3 linked regions of the Caenorhabditis elegans genome follow. The protein of the gene in region 1 purifies or fractionates together with the protein of each later gene. This does not show direct contact. Each region holds a gene or a part of one and is shown in the gene's direction. Other genes may lie near its edges.

What was found. Proteins that work in one complex are often made in the same cells at the same time.
Region 2: the proteins of ech-1.1 (region 1) and acdh-12 fractionate together in Caenorhabditis elegans (co-fractionation; one large-scale study listed by BioGRID). This does not show direct contact.
Region 3: the proteins of ech-1.1 (region 1) and ech-6 fractionate together in Caenorhabditis elegans (co-fractionation; one large-scale study listed by BioGRID). This does not show direct contact.

Annotation. Positions count from the first base shown.
Region 1 is NC_003283.11:15,355,449-15,364,619, reverse strand, and holds ech-1.1 (Trifunctional enzyme subunit alpha, mitochondrial), read left to right. Parts: upstream 1-3,881; coding exon 3,882-4,091; intron 4,092-4,133; coding exon 4,134-4,874; exon of another isoform or gene 4,875-4,942; intron 4,943-5,109; coding exon 5,110-5,610; intron 5,611-5,658; coding exon 5,659-6,182; intron 6,183-6,536; coding exon 6,537-6,828; 3' UTR 6,829-6,943; downstream 6,944-9,171. Other genes in the region: C29F3.7 (CUB-like domain-containing protein), read right to left, coding at 7,109-7,298, 7,988-8,302, 8,357-8,906, 8,955-9,067.
Region 2 is NC_003280.10:7,191,934-7,196,581, reverse strand, and holds acdh-12 (Very long-chain specific acyl-CoA dehydrogenase, mitochondrial), read left to right. Parts: upstream 1-1,811; 5' UTR 1,812-1,818; coding exon 1,819-1,983; intron 1,984-2,029; coding exon 2,030-2,133; intron 2,134-2,180; coding exon 2,181-2,496; intron 2,497-2,543; coding exon 2,544-2,657; intron 2,658-2,705; coding exon 2,706-3,421; intron 3,422-3,466; coding exon 3,467-3,603; intron 3,604-3,647; coding exon 3,648-3,796; intron 3,797-3,852; coding exon 3,853-3,993; 3' UTR 3,994-4,148; downstream 4,149-4,648. Other genes in the region: maoc-1 (MaoC-like domain-containing protein), read right to left, coding at 1-108, 157-244; E04F6.4 (PLD phosphodiesterase domain-containing protein), read right to left, coding at 4,163-4,373, 4,418-4,626.
Region 3 is NC_003281.10:9,751,052-9,754,565, reverse strand, and holds ech-6 (putative enoyl-CoA hydratase, mitochondrial), read left to right. Parts: upstream 1-1,682; 5' UTR 1,683-1,690; coding exon 1,691-1,993; intron 1,994-2,039; coding exon 2,040-2,250; intron 2,251-2,298; coding exon 2,299-2,597; intron 2,598-2,819; coding exon 2,820-2,873; 3' UTR 2,874-3,014; downstream 3,015-3,514. Other genes in the region: vps-53 (Vacuolar protein sorting-associated protein 53 homolog), read left to right, coding at 1-162, 370-738.

The DNA of each region.
Region 1 (9,171 bases):
AAAATGTCTCAGTTTTATTTGTGTAGCTTAATGTTTGGTAAGAGGTCACGAGAAATTCACAATCCGTTTTGCTCACGTCTTCGATGTTTAAATAGTTTCAAATTTAAAGTGTGCGACCAATTTTGAAATTTGCTTCAGACGCTGGTTTAATTTTTTTTTTCTTTTGCGCGGAACATTTTTTGAGGGGTAGGTAAAACAATGAAATTTGTTTCAAATAAAAATGAGTTTCCCGTAATGCGCAGGAGGGGGTGGCAAAAAAGAAGCGACTCGTTGACTCCGTAATAAGATGGAATTTTCACTCACAACTGATAGTTCTCTCTATTTCTCAAACAAACTGGAAAGCTCAATGCTTGTCATTTCAGGTGTTGTCGGTTCATACGTCTTTTTATTTGAGAGTCGTAGCAGCTCGTTACTTCAAAATCGATTTCGGATTTCTCGCAGAATATCTCGAGTAATCTACTTTACTTACTTCATAATCGCCGTTATGACATTCATGTTTCTTATAATCGCAATTGGTGAAGAAACAGATTGCAGCAAAGCTGCGAGTTCTGGAGATTAACCCTTGCCCCACTCGAGAGTTTTTCATATTTCCAGTTTTTGTCTTTGAGGCTCCACAAAATTTACTTGTTTTTGGTCTAATCTTGATGTTTCTACATTTCACTGGTAATATGTTATTCCATGTGACATGTCTTATATATTATCTCTATGTGTCCCCATCGCTCCTTATGTTGAGGAATACTCGAAAGGATCAATATGTGTTTTTAGTCTGTGTCACAGTACAGATTTCGGAGCCGCTTATTATGGTAGTTTTTCCAACTGCAATCATCTTCTTGGCGGCATAAATGGGATATTATCGACAAGAATGGAATAACTTGGGTACTGACTATCTTGCTTTCCACGGCCTTGTTGAGAGCATTGCAATCATGTTGGTGCACAGACCGTATCGAGAAGCGATTCGAAAGTATTTCAAGAAAGATAATTCAATCGTCATTCACAGAAGTCGAGAGTTTACATAATAAAATATTGACCCATGAAACGAACTGCAAGTGTATGTAAAAGTTTTATTGGAAAAATCGGTGTGCCGTGAAGCGATTCCACAATCACACGAAAAAATAAGATCGTTGGCCGGAGACATAGGCTGAAATTATTTCGGAAATGCCATAGCGATTTTTGAACAATTACTAAAATTACGGAGTAACATCACTAGAGGAGTATTATGCAAAAAATTAATCCAAATGCAATAAATACTATAATTTTTTTGCCACATGGCAAGCAGTTTTCTATCCATCGCACTTTGCTCAACAGGTCTCGTCGCTTTTCCAAATTATGGCCTTCTACATTATTCTCACTAGGACTCCTGTTAGAATAAAGCCGACGCAATTTCCACTATGTACAAATCACTAGTTCTGTGTTTCATTTGATTTGAGTTTAAAAAAAAACTGAAAACTAAGCAAGAACATTTTCAAGTATCAATGTGGTTTTTGAACAATTTGTATATTTCAACCATTGTTGGGTAAGTGTGTTACAGTCCGCGCACATGTGTTTTCAAATATTTTAAATTAGGGCGCATTTTTTTTCTTCGTATTTTTTTTGAATGTCTTCGTATTTACCAATTTTTCTGGTTTAAAAATTATAAATTTCGCTTACATACTATTTGTGAACGATATTTAGCAAAATCAATATTATAATAAGTATAGCCAGAAACATTAATTCAGTACTGAAATTATTGAGACCGACTTACAACAAAAACTAATTCAGAATGCATGGTCATATTGATAAAAGAAATACGGTATGCACCAATATGGCCACTGAACACACGGTGTGGATTTTTTAACAAAAAATCAAAAAAACATGTTACAAGAATTAATTCATTCTTAACCATTGCGTGACACGTGGCATTTTTTTGAGTTTTTTATGGATTTTAGCTGTTTTAAATCATCCAACTTTCAGCTTTGTTTCAGTTTTTCTTCAATTTTTTTCTAGATTATCAAATTTGACAGAATTTTCAAGGAAGACATAAAGAAAAAAACTAGAACAACAAATTTTGTGATAAAGAAAAACAACGACAAAGTATGTATATCTTGCGCCAGGAAAAGTCCTCTAACTGACCACTGTGCCCACAACTTTAAAAAAAAATTTACCATTCTGATAGTTTGATGACTGGTTACAATACTAACATATTTTTAAAATTTTTCTATGTCTAGTTTTTGAGAAAATGTAGGTAGTTGTGAAAAAATGATGGTTTCCCTAACAGGGGAAGGATCTCGAAGAATCATCAGAAATCTGTTACTTAATAACATATATTTGATAGGTGATGATTACAGATAATCACTTCAAAAATAATTAGTTGTTTTAGAGCAGGTTCAGCCAAATTACAGCGTCTTAAGGTTGACTAAAAAGTCTTCATATTTTAATTCAAAAAATCAAAACTTTTGATGTTTATAACGAGGGCATTTTAGTCAACTTTAAGACGCTGTAATTTGGCTGAACCTGCTCTAAAACAACTAATTTTTTTGAAGTGATTATCTGTAATCATCATCTATCAAATATATGTTATTAAGTAACAGATTTCTGATGATTCTTCGAGATCCTTTCCATGTTAGGGAACCACCATTTTTTCACAACTACCTACATTTTCTCAAAAACTAGACATAGTAACATTTTAAAAATATGTTGGTATTGTAACCAGTCATCAAACTATCAGAATGGTAAATTAAAAAAAAAAAGTTGTGGGCACAGTGGTCAGTTAGAGGACTTTTCCTGGCGCAAGATATACATACTTTGTCGTTGTTTTTCTTTATCACAAAATTTGTTGTTCTAGTTTTTTCTTTATGTCTTCCTTGAAAATTCTGTCAACTTTGATAATCTAGAAAAAAAATTGAAGAAAAACTGAAACAAAGCTGAAAGTTGGATGATTTAAAACAGCTAAAACCCATAAAAAACTCAAAAAAATGCCACGTGTCACGCAATGGTTAAGAATGAATTAATTCTTGGAACATGTTTTTTTGATTTTTTGTTAAAAAATCCACACCGTGGAACAGGTTAGAAATTGTAATTTAACAGTTCACGTGTTTTTTCCAAGTATAAAATCAAAACATTTCTGTTGGGTGTACCCAAATGAACACAACGTGTAGTCAGTTGTTCTCGCATTTGTCTCATCTCTATTTCTCTATTTTCACTACGTTCTCTTGTTGCTCTACCACCTTTTCATGGAGAACACATTTTTGCTGGTCAGTTAAACTTCACTAAGTGTAGTTATACCTGTAGTTAACAGTTTAACCAAGTTTTTGTTTATTCGAGCATGCTACGTGCTGTAGATGATTCTTGTCTTCTCATACGGGGTTTCTTACTTTATCAACTTTTTAATCACAAATTTATTTCCCATTCTACTTTTTCCGTGTTCTCTAAAATATTACCGTTAATTCGCACAATTTGCAACATCCACTTCTTCAAAGGAGGAGTATTGCTCTTTGGATACTTTTTGAAAATTATGAGCTTAACATTTTTAACACATTTAACATTTTTTACCTTTTAACATTTTGAGAAAAATGTTAAAATGGTTTAGTTAGTTTTGAGTTAACAGTCGAATTTTTTGATTAAAAAAATCAACTTTTTGGCTTTGGAAAACATCCATAAATTTAGCCGGAAAGCGCAAAAATTCATAAATAGTAATTCATTTCGAAAAATTCCTTTAAAAAATCGGATTTCTCTTCATGAATTCAGCTCCTGTGTTCATAGTTTTTGGAAAATCGTGATGATATCAAAGTTCAATTTATTTGCCATGCGGAATTCATTTACAAAAATAGCTTTTACTGTGTGTGACGTCGTAGAAAAACCAATTAATTTCAAAATATATATTACTTCAAACCTCATTATTACAGATGTTATCACGTGTTGTTCATAGATCGTCTTCGGTGTTTCGAACAAATCTCTCGTTTCGTTTGTTCTCACAGTCTGCATTCGCCGTGCACAGTACTCATCGCGTTGAGAAACAAGGTGACGTGGCTGTCATGAAAATTGATTTGCCAAACACAACAGAAAATGTGCTCAATAAAGCGTTGTTCGCGGAAATGAACGAAACATTGGATAGGGTGAGATTGAAGAGATTTCTTTTTTATAGTTATAAGTTTCAGCTTCAATCTGATCAAAGTGTCAAAGCTATTGTTGTCATGTCCGGAAAACCAAATAGTTTTGTTGCTGGAGCTGATATTCAAATGTTTAAAGCAGAAAAAACAGCCGCTGGAGTTTCAAACCTTCTTCGTGAGGGCCAGAAACAATTATTGACCATCGAGCTGAGCCAGAAACCAATAGTCGCTGCAATCATGGGAAGCTGTATGGGAGGTGGACTTGAAATCGCCCTTGCTTGTCACTACCGCATTGCTGTGAACGACAAAAAGACACTCTTGGGACTTCCAGAAGTGACTCTTGGGATAATGCCAGGAGACGGTGGAACTCAAAGACTACCAAAGCTAACTACTGTTCAGAATGTTCTCGACTTGACATTGACTGGCAAGAGAATCAAGGCAAATAAGGCTATGAAAATTGGAATTGTTGATCGTGTTATTCAACCACTTGGGGATGGAATTTGTACATCAACCGAAACCACTCATAAATATCTTGAAGAAATCGCAGTGCAATCGGCACGGGAGCTTGCCAATGGAAAACTCAAAATTAACAGAGACAAAGGATTTGTGCACAATGCTACGCAAGCAGTCATGACTAGCAAATTTGTACTGGACAATGTGATTCTCAAGATGGCTAAGAATAAGCTTATTAAACTGACCAATGGGAACTATCCGGCTCCACTCAAGATTCTTGACGTTGTCCGGACGGCATACCTAGACCCAAAAAATGGATATGAAGCTGAGGCTAAGGTAAGACAATTTGATTTCATCGTTTTTCCAGTTTTGTTTTCGATTTTCAATTGTCTATCCGTAGACTTGAAGTAGTGTGAAAAGTTATACAAAAATAGTTTTTTAGAGTTTGCAGTCAGCTTTTCTCGTACGCCTGAATTTCATTTTTCGTAATTAGGGAATTTTTAGTCTTCAAAAAAATCAGAGATTGAGAGATCAGAGATGAGAGAATACTTGCCAAGTTCAAAGCTTTCAGGCATTTGGTGAACTTTCACAAACTTTCCAATCAAAAGCACTTTTTGGACTGTTCGAAGGATCGACTAATGCTAAAAAGAACAAATACGGAAAAGGACTTCCGGTCAATGAAATCGCTGTCGTCGGAGCTGGATTCATGGGAGCAGGGATTGCGAATGTAACTATCAATAAGGGTATTCGAACAGTTCTTTTGGATGCCAACCAGGCAGGCGTTGAACGAGGACAAAATCACGTGGCTACACATTTGAATAGACAGCTCAAGAGACAAAAGATTTCGAAATTGGAAAGAGAAAAAATCTACAACCATCTTGTGCCAACAATTGATTATTCCGCCATGAAGAATGCTGATGTAGTTATTGAGGCGGTTTTCGAAGATCTTCCTCTGAAGCATAAAGTTATTAGGCAAATCGAAAACGTCGTTGGACCAAACACAATCATTGCATCCAATACTTCTGCTCTTCCAATCAAGGATATTGCCGCTGCGTCTTCTCGGTCAGATAAAGTATGGTATTGAATTTATAAATCACTTACAGTTTAAATTAATTTTCAGGTTATTGGGATGCACTATTTCTCTCCAGTTGAAAAGATGCAGTTACTTGAAATTATCACTCATGATGGAACATCTAAAGAAACCCTTGCAACTGCTGCTCAGCTAGGACTAAAGCAAGGAAAACTCGTCGTCGTCGTCAAGGATTGTCCCGGCTTCTTCGTCGTCCGATGCCTAAGCCCAATGATGTCGGAAATAGTCCGTCTCCTCCAGGAAGGTGTCGAACCATCTGAACTTGACAAACTCACAACGAAATTCGGATTCCCTGTGGGAGCTGCGACGTTGGCCGACGAAGCTGGACTCGACGTCGCAGAACACGTGGCTCGATATCTCGGAACCGCTTTAGGTCCACGTGTTCATGGAGGATCGGTTGATTTGTTGTCCGAATTGGTGCGCGCTGGACATAAGGGGCGTAAGACTTCAAAGGGAATCTTTGTGTACGGAGATGGGGCAAAAGGCAGCAAGAAAGTAAACCAAGAGGCGGCAAAGCTGTTTGAAAAGTATAAATTGACACCAATCAAATCTGTGTGAGTTTTTTTTAAATACGCATTAAAAAAATAGTTTTTAGAAACTAATTCCCGACCGGCGCAGCTAAAATACGGGCAATGTTTCTTCCAAATTTAGAACCACATAAAAAATGTTTGATAGTTTTGTTTTAGTTCTCACTACGAAATGTGTTTATTAAAAACCCGGAAATTATTTTTAATTTTTTTTAAAAACAATATCCGCACACCGCGAATTATCCATGGCTAATCTCAATCAATGTCGGCTGCGCTTTTTTAGCCCTCAAATGTTTAATTCTTTGGAGATCATACATCAAACTGAACAAAAATATATACAAGTAGCGATTTGAATATAGTAATAATCGTAATATTTTCCAGCTCATCTCCTGAGGACCGTCAACTTCGTCTCGTCTCTCGATTTGTCAATGAGGCACTTCTTTGTCTTGAAGAAGGTGTTATTAGCTCACCATCTGACGGAGATATAGCCTCTGTATTTGGTCTCGGTTTCCCACCATTCTGGGGAGGCCCATTCCGGTTTGTCGATCTTTATGGAGCGGGCAAGTTGGTTGCGGCGATGGACAGGTTTGCCGGAGTGTACGAATCTGTCCAATTTGAGCCATGCCAACTTCTCAGAAATCATGCGAAGAGTGGAGGACAATTTTATAGCTAAAACCAATTTTTGTCTGAATTGTATTTTCACAGCTTATACGGGACATTTTTGTTTTCAATGAATTTCCTTTCAAATTGCTCCCTTTTTATTATGTTTAATGAATGTTATGATAAAAAACTTGTTTGAAATCGCTTCTATAATGCTGAATTTTTGAGATTTTTCAAATCGTCAATCAAAAAGTATGCATTTTTTAAATATGTGAATCCTAAAACAGATTCATAGAATTTAAACATTTATTGAAACAAATAAAAGTTACAAGACAGAAAAAATAAATAAATTCTCAAAACAAAAACAGAAAGACAATTACGCAGGCGAAAAAGAATTCAGAAGAACGTGTCACAGACTTTTCGATATCAAAATTGAGAAATAGTTTGCTTGAATCGGTACCGTTTGGGTAATATTCAATGTGCAAAAAGTTTCCGTGAAAGGTTATAGTAGTGTTGAGAGGTGGAAGATTTGTAGAATTAAAGCTGAAATTGAAGAGATTGAGGATTGCGATGGAACTCGTAAACTTAAAAATTTGAGTTAAAAATCAAATTGAAAAAGAACTTACGAAAACTTTTTTCTAAAATATGCTATGTTTTTAACAAAATTGTAATTTTTAGACTTTACTTTTCAACGCTTCAGCACACCAATCAGTTTATCCATTTTGAAGACTATTTTTACTTTCGGTTTTTCGGTGATTTGCTGAGTTGTTCGAACGCGTATAACTCGACTACCATAATAGTTAGCGAAATATTTTCAACTAACAAACTGTTTTCAATCACCTTTTTTACTTTTTGCTTTTGGCAAAGTTATTTAATTGTTTTCCAGAAAGTTAAATCAGCTGTTATCAGGAGGGTATGTTTTTTTACAACTTTGAAACTAGGTGTTAAAAAAAAACAAAGTTTGATAAAAAAATATTCTAAGTTTTCTAATTTTTGCAATTTGTTGTTCTGTCACAAAGTTGCCAGGAAAACTTATACGAAAATGCATTACGAAAATCAAAATTAACTAAATTTTCTCATAATGAGTAGAATTTTTTTTGAAATCAGTTTTGGGACCAAGCCCCTATATTGGGTAGCCTCCTCCGGCCCTTATAGGAGATCTAAACATATGCAGAAATGACTAGAATTTTTAACAAGTGAATACCGCGCCATTTCATTTGTGAAATATTTACCTCAGTTCTCTTGTTAACTCGATATATCTATAGCAATATACTATTAGTGTGGTTGACCCACTTAAATCCGCTGTAGCAATGTTAACTTTAAATATAGTGTCCGGATTTTTTACGGGTGCGTTGATATGGAAAGCTTCTTGGAATGAGTTTCCATATGAGTCGGATGAAATGAATCCTTTTCTTCCGAAGGAAGTTGTCTCATCGAATGCATCATCTCTTCGTGTGAAGGTGAGAGACGCGGTCTCACCTGTGAAAACAAGTGTTGTTAACCGGCCAAAAAATTCTTGAGGTAGGTTAAGCTCGCTTCTGTTTACACTGAAAGTAATTTTGGGTGTGTGATATTTGTGTCATTTTTCTCAAGAAACCCACTCATAAGTTGTGATCAAATTTGTTTTAGTGACCCCGCCATCAAAAACCTCTAATTTACCAAAGCCAAGTGTCTTATTTAAAACGAAGCTTGTTTCGAATTTGTTGTGATATAGTTGTAGGGCGACTGAACCTTTTGTTCCATCCAATGAAACAATGCCGTCACAGTCTTGGTCATCTGGACACAAAATCCACTCGAATTTGCAAATAGATTTTGTATTTTCATAGTCCTGAAGCACAATGGGACTATTGTTTACAGCCCAGGAATCACCAATATACGAAATTAGCATTTGATTCGAAGTGCTAACATATTGTGATTTTCCCGTCAATAACTGAAGTCCTGTTCCAAGATACGTCGAGTTTCTGGTAGTTCCATCGAAGAACAGTACTCCACGCAAGTATTGAAAGCTGTCCTTGACACCTGGTGGCACAATTGTGGCGGATATTCTGGTATCAGCAGTGATCACGACTTGTTGGTCAGGCATGTTTGAGTAAAGTGGAGGTAAAGTTGCCGATCGGGAGAAATTCAGATATTTTGTTTGTATGAATTGATCTGAAAAAATTAAAGCTAACATGGCATATATCAAATCCAAAGAATTACATGTGTCCCAGAAAATTGAGAATCCAAATTGAACTTTTCGATTACCAGTGGATAGTTTTATGTTTCCTCCATTGGAAACAAAATAAAACGACTCGGATTTCGTAGAAAAAACTCTGAAAATTTATTCTCAAAAATATTTAAATGGTAGTTTTCTGATAGTTTGGAAAAGGAAAAAAATGGAACACCAATTTTTCCACATCATAGTTTCTTTTAATTC
Region 2 (4,648 bases), on another chromosome or scaffold:
TCAAAGTGTGAGCTTGAAATCCTGGAGCAACAATGTACGATGGAAGCACTTTAAAGTCTTCATGGTTCTCATAAACGTAGCACAAATCTTCTTTCGCTCGAGCACCAACTAAATGAAATTATTAATCACTATTCAAAAGGTCTTAGAAAAAATTACCTCCAAGAGCATAAATAATAGCATCTCTGGTAGAATATGAGAACTCGCATGGCTCTGCCACATGTGCGCAAGCAGTTTTCTTATCCATTTTTAAGTATTTGTCGGAGAAGAAACAAAAACCAAATAATGAAATAGAAAATGCCAATACCTAACAAGGAATCGGTACAGTGTAGTCTTGACCCCATGTGTTGATAAGACTACGCTGCAGACTACATAACGAGGGTGAAATCAATAGTTTTTTTTTAAAAATAAGCACTAAAAGAATTATTACCACATACTGATAATTATTAGATGTTTTAAATAATTTGCAAAAAAAGTATACAAGGCTTTAAATTTCAATTAAAAAATATATAAAAACTAGACTTTTGTCGGGAGAGATGTACAACGTGTTCATAGTATACTATAGTATTTGGGTTTCAACTTATAGAAAATGATCGAATAAATTTCCTTCGTTTTGAATTTTGAAGCGAAGCACGCACAAAAATTAATAGACCAGTTTCAGATTTCTCTTAATTCAGAAACATTCATCAAATACCTATGACGCCTTGTCGTCTGTTCAATAAAATTAACATGGAAGGTCGATTTATTTTTTCCGATATTTAAACAACCAAGGATTGTTTGTCGACTGTTAAATAGCTAAATTACAGTATCCATTCTACGAACCATTTCTCTTTCTTTAATTAAAAAAATAAAGCTTATTTTTTCGCGTAAAAGCCTTCCGAAAAATTCACACGTTTTCAAACTTGTGCATTCGCTAAATTAGTTTATATTTTCACTCGTTCACTTTCGTACATTGAAAGAATTCCAAATTCCATACGGTTCGTTTCTATAATGTACAGATTTATTCAGATGTAAAAAACATTAAAACATGAGCCGTCAAATATAGTGCCGACGGTGTGAACACACCACCGTAACACCGTGACGACAGATTGCGGATTCATTTTTCTTTCAGAGTACGATGCAGAAAACTTCTGTAATTGTCGTTTTTTTTCTATTTTAATTTATTTTGTGGCCGTTAAAGATAAAATATAAGACAACAAGTGTTCATACGAATTTTTCAGTACCATGAGGTGACCCGTAGAGCTATAAAATCATGTTTTTCTTGAAAATTTCATCGAACCTGCGCTAAAGTGTATTTTATCACATTGTCTTTTCACTAGTGCGTAGCCAGGGCCGTTCAAAGTACATAGGGCAAAGTCTACAAGAGATAACAATGACCGTCCTCCACGTTTCCTCTCCATCGTTTGTGTATGTTGGCGATTAATCAGTTTATTATGGAAAATTTACGAAAAATACTGAGCAAACCATGTTTCCAGTTATTTTTAGTTAACTTTTAAACTTCTTATTTTATGAAACACTCTTTTATGTAATCCAAAAAAAGCAAAAAACCTATTCGTTCTTTTTTGCGTTCATATAAAATGCTAAATACTTTTCTATAAAACTTATTCTGAATTCTATTTATTTTGATTGCTCTTGGACGTTCAGTGTAAAAAAGTATTGTTATGTCTGTGTTCTATGTTCTCTCACATGCTGCGTCTCTGCTCTATCCACCGTTCGACCCCCAAGTTGTTTTCTTCACTCTTTATCTCCGTCATCGCTATTTACCCCCTACTGATTCACTGATTGAAACCTATATTATTGGTTTTTTCTTCCAGAGAAACGATGCTGTCAACGCTGAGTAAATCTGCACGGCTCAACCAAACACGATTCATTCGTCTTTCGCATTCTGCTGCTGCTGCAAAAGATGCAAAACCGAAGAAGGTCGCTGCAGTGGACAGTCCATCATTTGTCATGAATCTTTTCAGAGGGAAAGCTGTGACTGACCAGGTATTTGAGAATTTTAGCAGGACCTGTTCAAACTGCCAATTTCCAGGTGTTTCCGTATCCTCTGAATATGACTGACGAACAGAAAGAAACTCTTGGAATGGTGATGTCTCCACTGGAAAAGATGCTTGTCGAAGTTAATGACGTCGTAAAGTGAATAATAAATCTTAAATTTACATGATCAATTTATTTATTTTCAGAAATGACGAGACTTCTGACATTCCAAGAGCAGTTTTGGACCAATTCGCTGAGCTAGGAACATTTGGTGTACTCGTTCCACCAGAGCTTGAAGGTTCCGGATTCAACAATTCTCAGATGGCCAGAGTCGCTGAAATTGTTGGAGCTTACGATCTTGGATTTGGTGTTGTCATGGGTGCTCATCAGTCGATTGGCTACAAAGGAATCCTTCTCGAGGGTACGGATGCTCAGAAACAAAAATATCTTCCCGATTTGGCAACTGGACGCAAATTTGCTGCTTTCGCTCTTACCGAGCCAACTACCGGATCTGATGCTAGTGTAAGCTAGAATATTATTAATTTCTCATAAACTTTAAATTTATTCAGTCAGTTAGAACGAGAGCTGAATTGTCTGCTGATGGTAAGCACTACGTTTTGAATGGTGGAAAAATCTGGATTTCGAACGGAGGATTCGCCGATGTTTTCACTGTGTTTGCTCAGGTAATTTATTTTCATTTTTTGGAAAAACTTTCACAATTGATTATTCAGACTCCTGTCAAGCAGGCCGATGGCTCAACAAAGGACAAGATGTCTGCATTCATTGTCGAAAGAGCGTTTGGTGGAGTCACCAGTGGACCACAAGAGAAGAAAATGGGAATCAAGGGATCGAACACAACTGAAGTTCACTTTGATAATTTAAAAATCCCGGTTGAAAATCTTCTTGGAAAAGAAGGAGAAGGCTTCAAGGTGGCGATGAACATTCTTAATAACGGAAGATTCGGAATTCCAGCTGCCTGTACTGGAGCTATGAAACATTGTATCCAGAAGACTGTCGATCACATCACCACTCGTGTTCAGTTTGGAAAGAAACTTCAAGAATTTGGAAATATCCAAGAAAAGCTGGTAGAAATGATCTCGAAACTGTATGCAACAGAGTCAATTGTCTATATGCTTTCATCAAACATGGATCGTGGAATTAAGGAGTATCAACTTGAAGCAGCTATCGGCAAGGTTCTAGCTTCAGAAAATGCTTGGCTTGTATGCGACGATGCTATTCAAGTTCACGGAGGAATGGGATTCATGCGCGAGACTGGTCTTGAAAGAGTTCTCCGAGATCTTCGTATCTTCAGAATCTTTGAAGGAGCCAATGATGTTCTCCGCCTCTTCATTGCTCTTACTGGAGCACAACATGCTGGAAAGCATCTTGCCGAGCAAGCTTCTGGAGTCGGGGGCCTTATTGGGTTGGCTGTTTCAAGAGTTACCGGGTTTGTGAAATCACATTTTTAGAATTATTAAACTGTATTTTTCAGAGGAAACACTGGCTCCAACTTTGGGCAAGTCGTCGACGCAAGTCTTCAAGATTCAGCTAAAGTATTGGATCAGCAAATTGCTTTGTTTGGACAAACAGTTCAAGGATTACTCATGAAGCATAAAAAGGGAATAATTGGTAATAAAATACCTTTGAACTGCTTTTAATTTTAATTTTTGTAGATCGTCAATATGAGATGCACCGTGTTGCCGACGCTGCCATCAACATTTACAGCTCTGCCGCTGTTCTTTCTCGTGCCACCTATGCCATCAAGAACAAATCTTCAAGTGCTGATTTTGAACGCAAAGTTGCTACTTACTACGTTGATAAGGTAATTTTTGATAACTGCCAAATTTTAAGTTTTAATTTCGATATTTACTCTTTCAGGCGATGAAATCATCAAACAGATTCCTGAAGGATGCCGGAAGTGGTGTTGAGAATGCTTCGAAGGTAGCAACAATTGAATCATTGGCGAAGGAAGTCTGTGGAAATGGAGGACTCACTCTTCAACATCCAGTTGAATTGTAAATTGTAAACTAGACTTGTTTTTTTTTATCGTAAGAAGCTCTTTTAGCCAGTCTGTATGTATCTAGAATTGAATTGCCTTCTTTTTTGAATTTTCGGGTGCGAATATTTTATTTCTTGTGCTATAAAAAACGGAAAATAAATTTTATCAATTGAAATTTTATACACGAAATTAAATGAAAATAAGCGGATCGAGAATCTGATCTTCTCCATGGTTCTTCTCGTAAACTAGTCCGTCAGCAGAGTATTTCTCATTAAATACTCCTATTTGATCAAACCCAAACCATCCGGAGAATGGGTTCGATGGTTTTGAAATTTTTGGAAGATAACCTTTTGATTCACCGTATTTTTGAAGTTTTTGTGAGTACGTGCTATGCCAGTATCTGAAGACAATGAAACATTTTAAATATTTTTTATATTTAATTACCGTTCAAATACAGCTTTTATTTGTCTATTGATATCTCCATAATGTGGTTCTTCGTCTACAATAATTGCAGTTCCAGTTGATTTGTAAAAGTATTCAGGTCCATAATTCGATGAACCAATGAAGGTTCTTGATTCGGAAATCATGAATTTTGCATGCATCTTACGATCTTTATAAGCTTCTTGAGCGGTTTGTGGAATTAAAATGAACTTCTGAAATATTTATATTTAATAA
Region 3 (3,514 bases), on another chromosome or scaffold:
ATTAGTACTCATGGAGCTGAGCAACTGTTACTTGATACTCATTCGCTAAAAACATTTTTGCTCAGTGTACCATCAATTGATAGTATTATCAACTCAAAACCACCAACGGCATACGTTACCAGTGTGAATGCAGCTCTGACAAAAGCTGAAATGATTTTGAAAGTGAGACATTTTAGATTTTTTAAAGAGATCGAAAAATCAAAAAATCAAAAAACAAAATTCGGTTTTTAAACATGGGTTTTAATTTAAAAAAAAATTGTGAATTTTCCGGAAATTCGAAAGTCAAAATAAGTTTAGAAAGACCAAAATTTTAATTTGTTGTTTTCCATTTTTCCAAAAACGCGAAATTCAAAATAAATAATTTTTCAGGTAGTAATGTGCAGTTTGGAGACTGTCGATGAATTTGTTGAACAATATATTAAACTTCTACCAGCGTCGGATGCAGCAGAAATGCAAAAAGTTCTTGAAATGAAAGGAGTTAAACGACAAGAGCATTCGGCAGTTCTCAACGCTTATCGATTGAAAATCGGTGCATCTGGCTCGGATCCAATTCAACAATCGAATAGTCTAACTTCTCGGATTGGTGGAGCACTACCAACTGTTGGAAGTGCAGCATCTGTATCTGAAGCATTCAATGCAGTTGTATCAATGGCAGCAGATGGATTGTCTGATCAAGCAGTGACGTCATCAATTGATAAGCTTAAAAGATTCGAAAGACTAGTCAAACGACAATTGTGATTGTTGATCTACTACCAAAGAACGAAATTTATAATTTATTTACATAATTTTATTTGAAAGTTTCTCAGAATACTCATCGGAGTTTTGTATTTATTTATTTATTCATGTGAAATGTTTTAATAGTTGTGAATAAGATTTCTAATTCTTACTTTTTATACTTTTTGTTTTAATTTAATTTTTATGGGTTGTTCTCCGAAATTATTTGATTTTTTATTATGCAGTAACTCAAAGATACCGTATCCTCTCTCGCCACAAACGAAATATTTTGAAGCCGTGAAAAAAGGAATGCTCCTTTAAGTAGTACAGTAACCCACTCTCTGTTATCTCGCGCAGTTGTCTCTGCTTTCCCCTTTTTGTTGTAAAATTTTACCAATAAATAATTAGCATACCAAATTGGTCTGCTAATTATTCAGCATACCAAATTGGTCTAAATCTTCGGAATTTTATTTTTCATGTGTTTAGAAAATAAAAAACAATTATTTGGATCTAAAAAATTGCTATGTAAATTGCAATTATAGTACTCTTCAAATGCGCACATCTTTTTGTATTTCACACAAATTTGTCGTGTCGAGACCGGATATGGTTTCTTTTGGCAAAAATCTAAATTTTGCGTCTGTGTTATTTAATAACAATTATAATTGTTCCAAATTAGAGTCTTCTTGACGAAAAAACGTAAAAATTGGCACGTTTAGACACGTTGTATAACAACAAGAAAAACCTTTAAAAAGCAGTGTTTTCTTGTTTTTATTGTTGATTAGTTCATAGATCACAGTTCACACTGTGTGCTCTATCGTTCGTATATCTCTCACTGTCTGCGTCTATTTTCATATCTGTTTCGTTCACTTTTGCATCTTTTACAATTGTCTTCTTTTTCTTGAATACTTCCAATTTTCTTCTCATTTCTTAGTTATCAACATTTTCCAACTCAAGTTCTGAAATTTCAGAAATCAAGATGATGCGCTTCTCGTCGATGCTGGTTCGCAATGCCAAATTGTGTGCAAATGTCAACCAAATGCAAGTCGCCGCATTTTCAAGCAAAGCTCCTGAAATGATCAAGATCGAGAAAGTTGGAGAGAAGCAAAATGTTGCTCTTATCAAGCTGAATAGACCAAAAGCTTTGAATGCTTTGTGCGCTCAGCTTATGACTGAATTGGCTGATGCTCTCGAAGTTTTGGATACTGATAAGTCTGTCGGAGCAATTGTGATTACTGGAAGTGAGAGAGCTTTTGCCGCTGGAGCTGATATCAAGGAGATGGTTAGTCAGCGTATAATCCAATTTTTTAAAAATTATCGGATTTCAGACCAATAACGAGTTCGCCACCACATTTTCTGGAAGCTTCCTCTCCAACTGGACCGCTGTCAGTGATGTGAAAAAGCCAGTTATTGCTGCAGTGAACGGATTTGCATTGGGAGGTGGAAACGAGTTGGCAATGATGTGTGATATTATCTATGCCGGAGAGAAGGCTCGTTTTGGACAACCTGAAATTAACATTGGAACTATTCCAGGAGCAGGTAATTGACAATATTTTAAAATCAAATTTTTAAACGTCGATGATTCAGGAGGTACTCAGCGTTGGGCTCGCGCCGCCGGAAAATCATTTGCCATGGAGGTGTGCCTTACTGGAAACCACGTGACTGCTCAAGAAGCTAAGGAGCACGGTATTGTGAGCAAGATTTTCCCAGCTGATCAGGTTGTCGGGGAAGCTGTGAAACTTGGAGAGAAAATCGCTGATCAATCTCCACTGATTGTTCAAATGGCAAAGGAGGCCGTTAACAAAGCTTATGAGCTTACTCTTCAAGAGGGACTTCACTTCGAAAGACGACTTTTCCATGCCACTTTTGCCACCAAGGATAGAAAGGTAAATTATCAAAATGAATTTTTAAATTGCAATCTAGTTTTGTAGATAAATTATTTAAACTTATTTATTATTACGGTAGAAAAACTGCCAAATAAATACAGTGATCAAAATATTGTTCCAGTTTTTATTCCACCTTCTCTTAAAATGAAATAATCAGTTTCCTACCTAGTTTAGTATTTTTCTCGAAAACCTGATAAATTCCCCTTAAAAGATGTTTTTCAGGAAGGAATGACCGCTTTTGCCGAGAAGAGAAAGCCACAGTGGGAGTCGAAATAGATGCGCATCTACAGATAAGAGAAGAAGATGATTCAAAGTGCCTAGTTGAATTTCTTGTTTTATTATTTTTATTGTGTTTTGTATTTTTTCTGTATTTTACGGTTAGTTTCTTCTGCCATTGAAAATAAATATATATGTAAAGCTGCATCTTCACGATTTTCTGATTCCTTTTTTTTTGTAGTCAGTTTCGATTTTCCATATTTGTGATTTGTGATTGTTTATGTTTTTTTTTTGAAAAAAAAATCAATTAAACACTACAGAAACACTACACACTTGTATGCTGAATAATAGCATACCCACCTTGGGTCTGCTAAATATTAAATTTGTGATTTCTGATTGTTTATGTTGTTCGAAGAAAAAATCAATTAAACACTACAGAAACAGTGGACAGCGATGTGGCTTGACTGGTTCTTTCCCGTGAGTTTTGTAATATTTAATGGCCGGCAGGGAGCAACATCAAGCGGCAAAGTTTGAAAAATCTTCCCTATCACGATTTATTAAGTTCAGTTTCAGTTTCTACTGTACAAAAATGTTTTTATCTACTATACTAGTATATCATTACCTAACCACCAATTTTCGGCCGCCCTTTCTTAGTTTCTCTCAATCTCTTCTAATATTTTCTATATCTGATTACCTCTCTC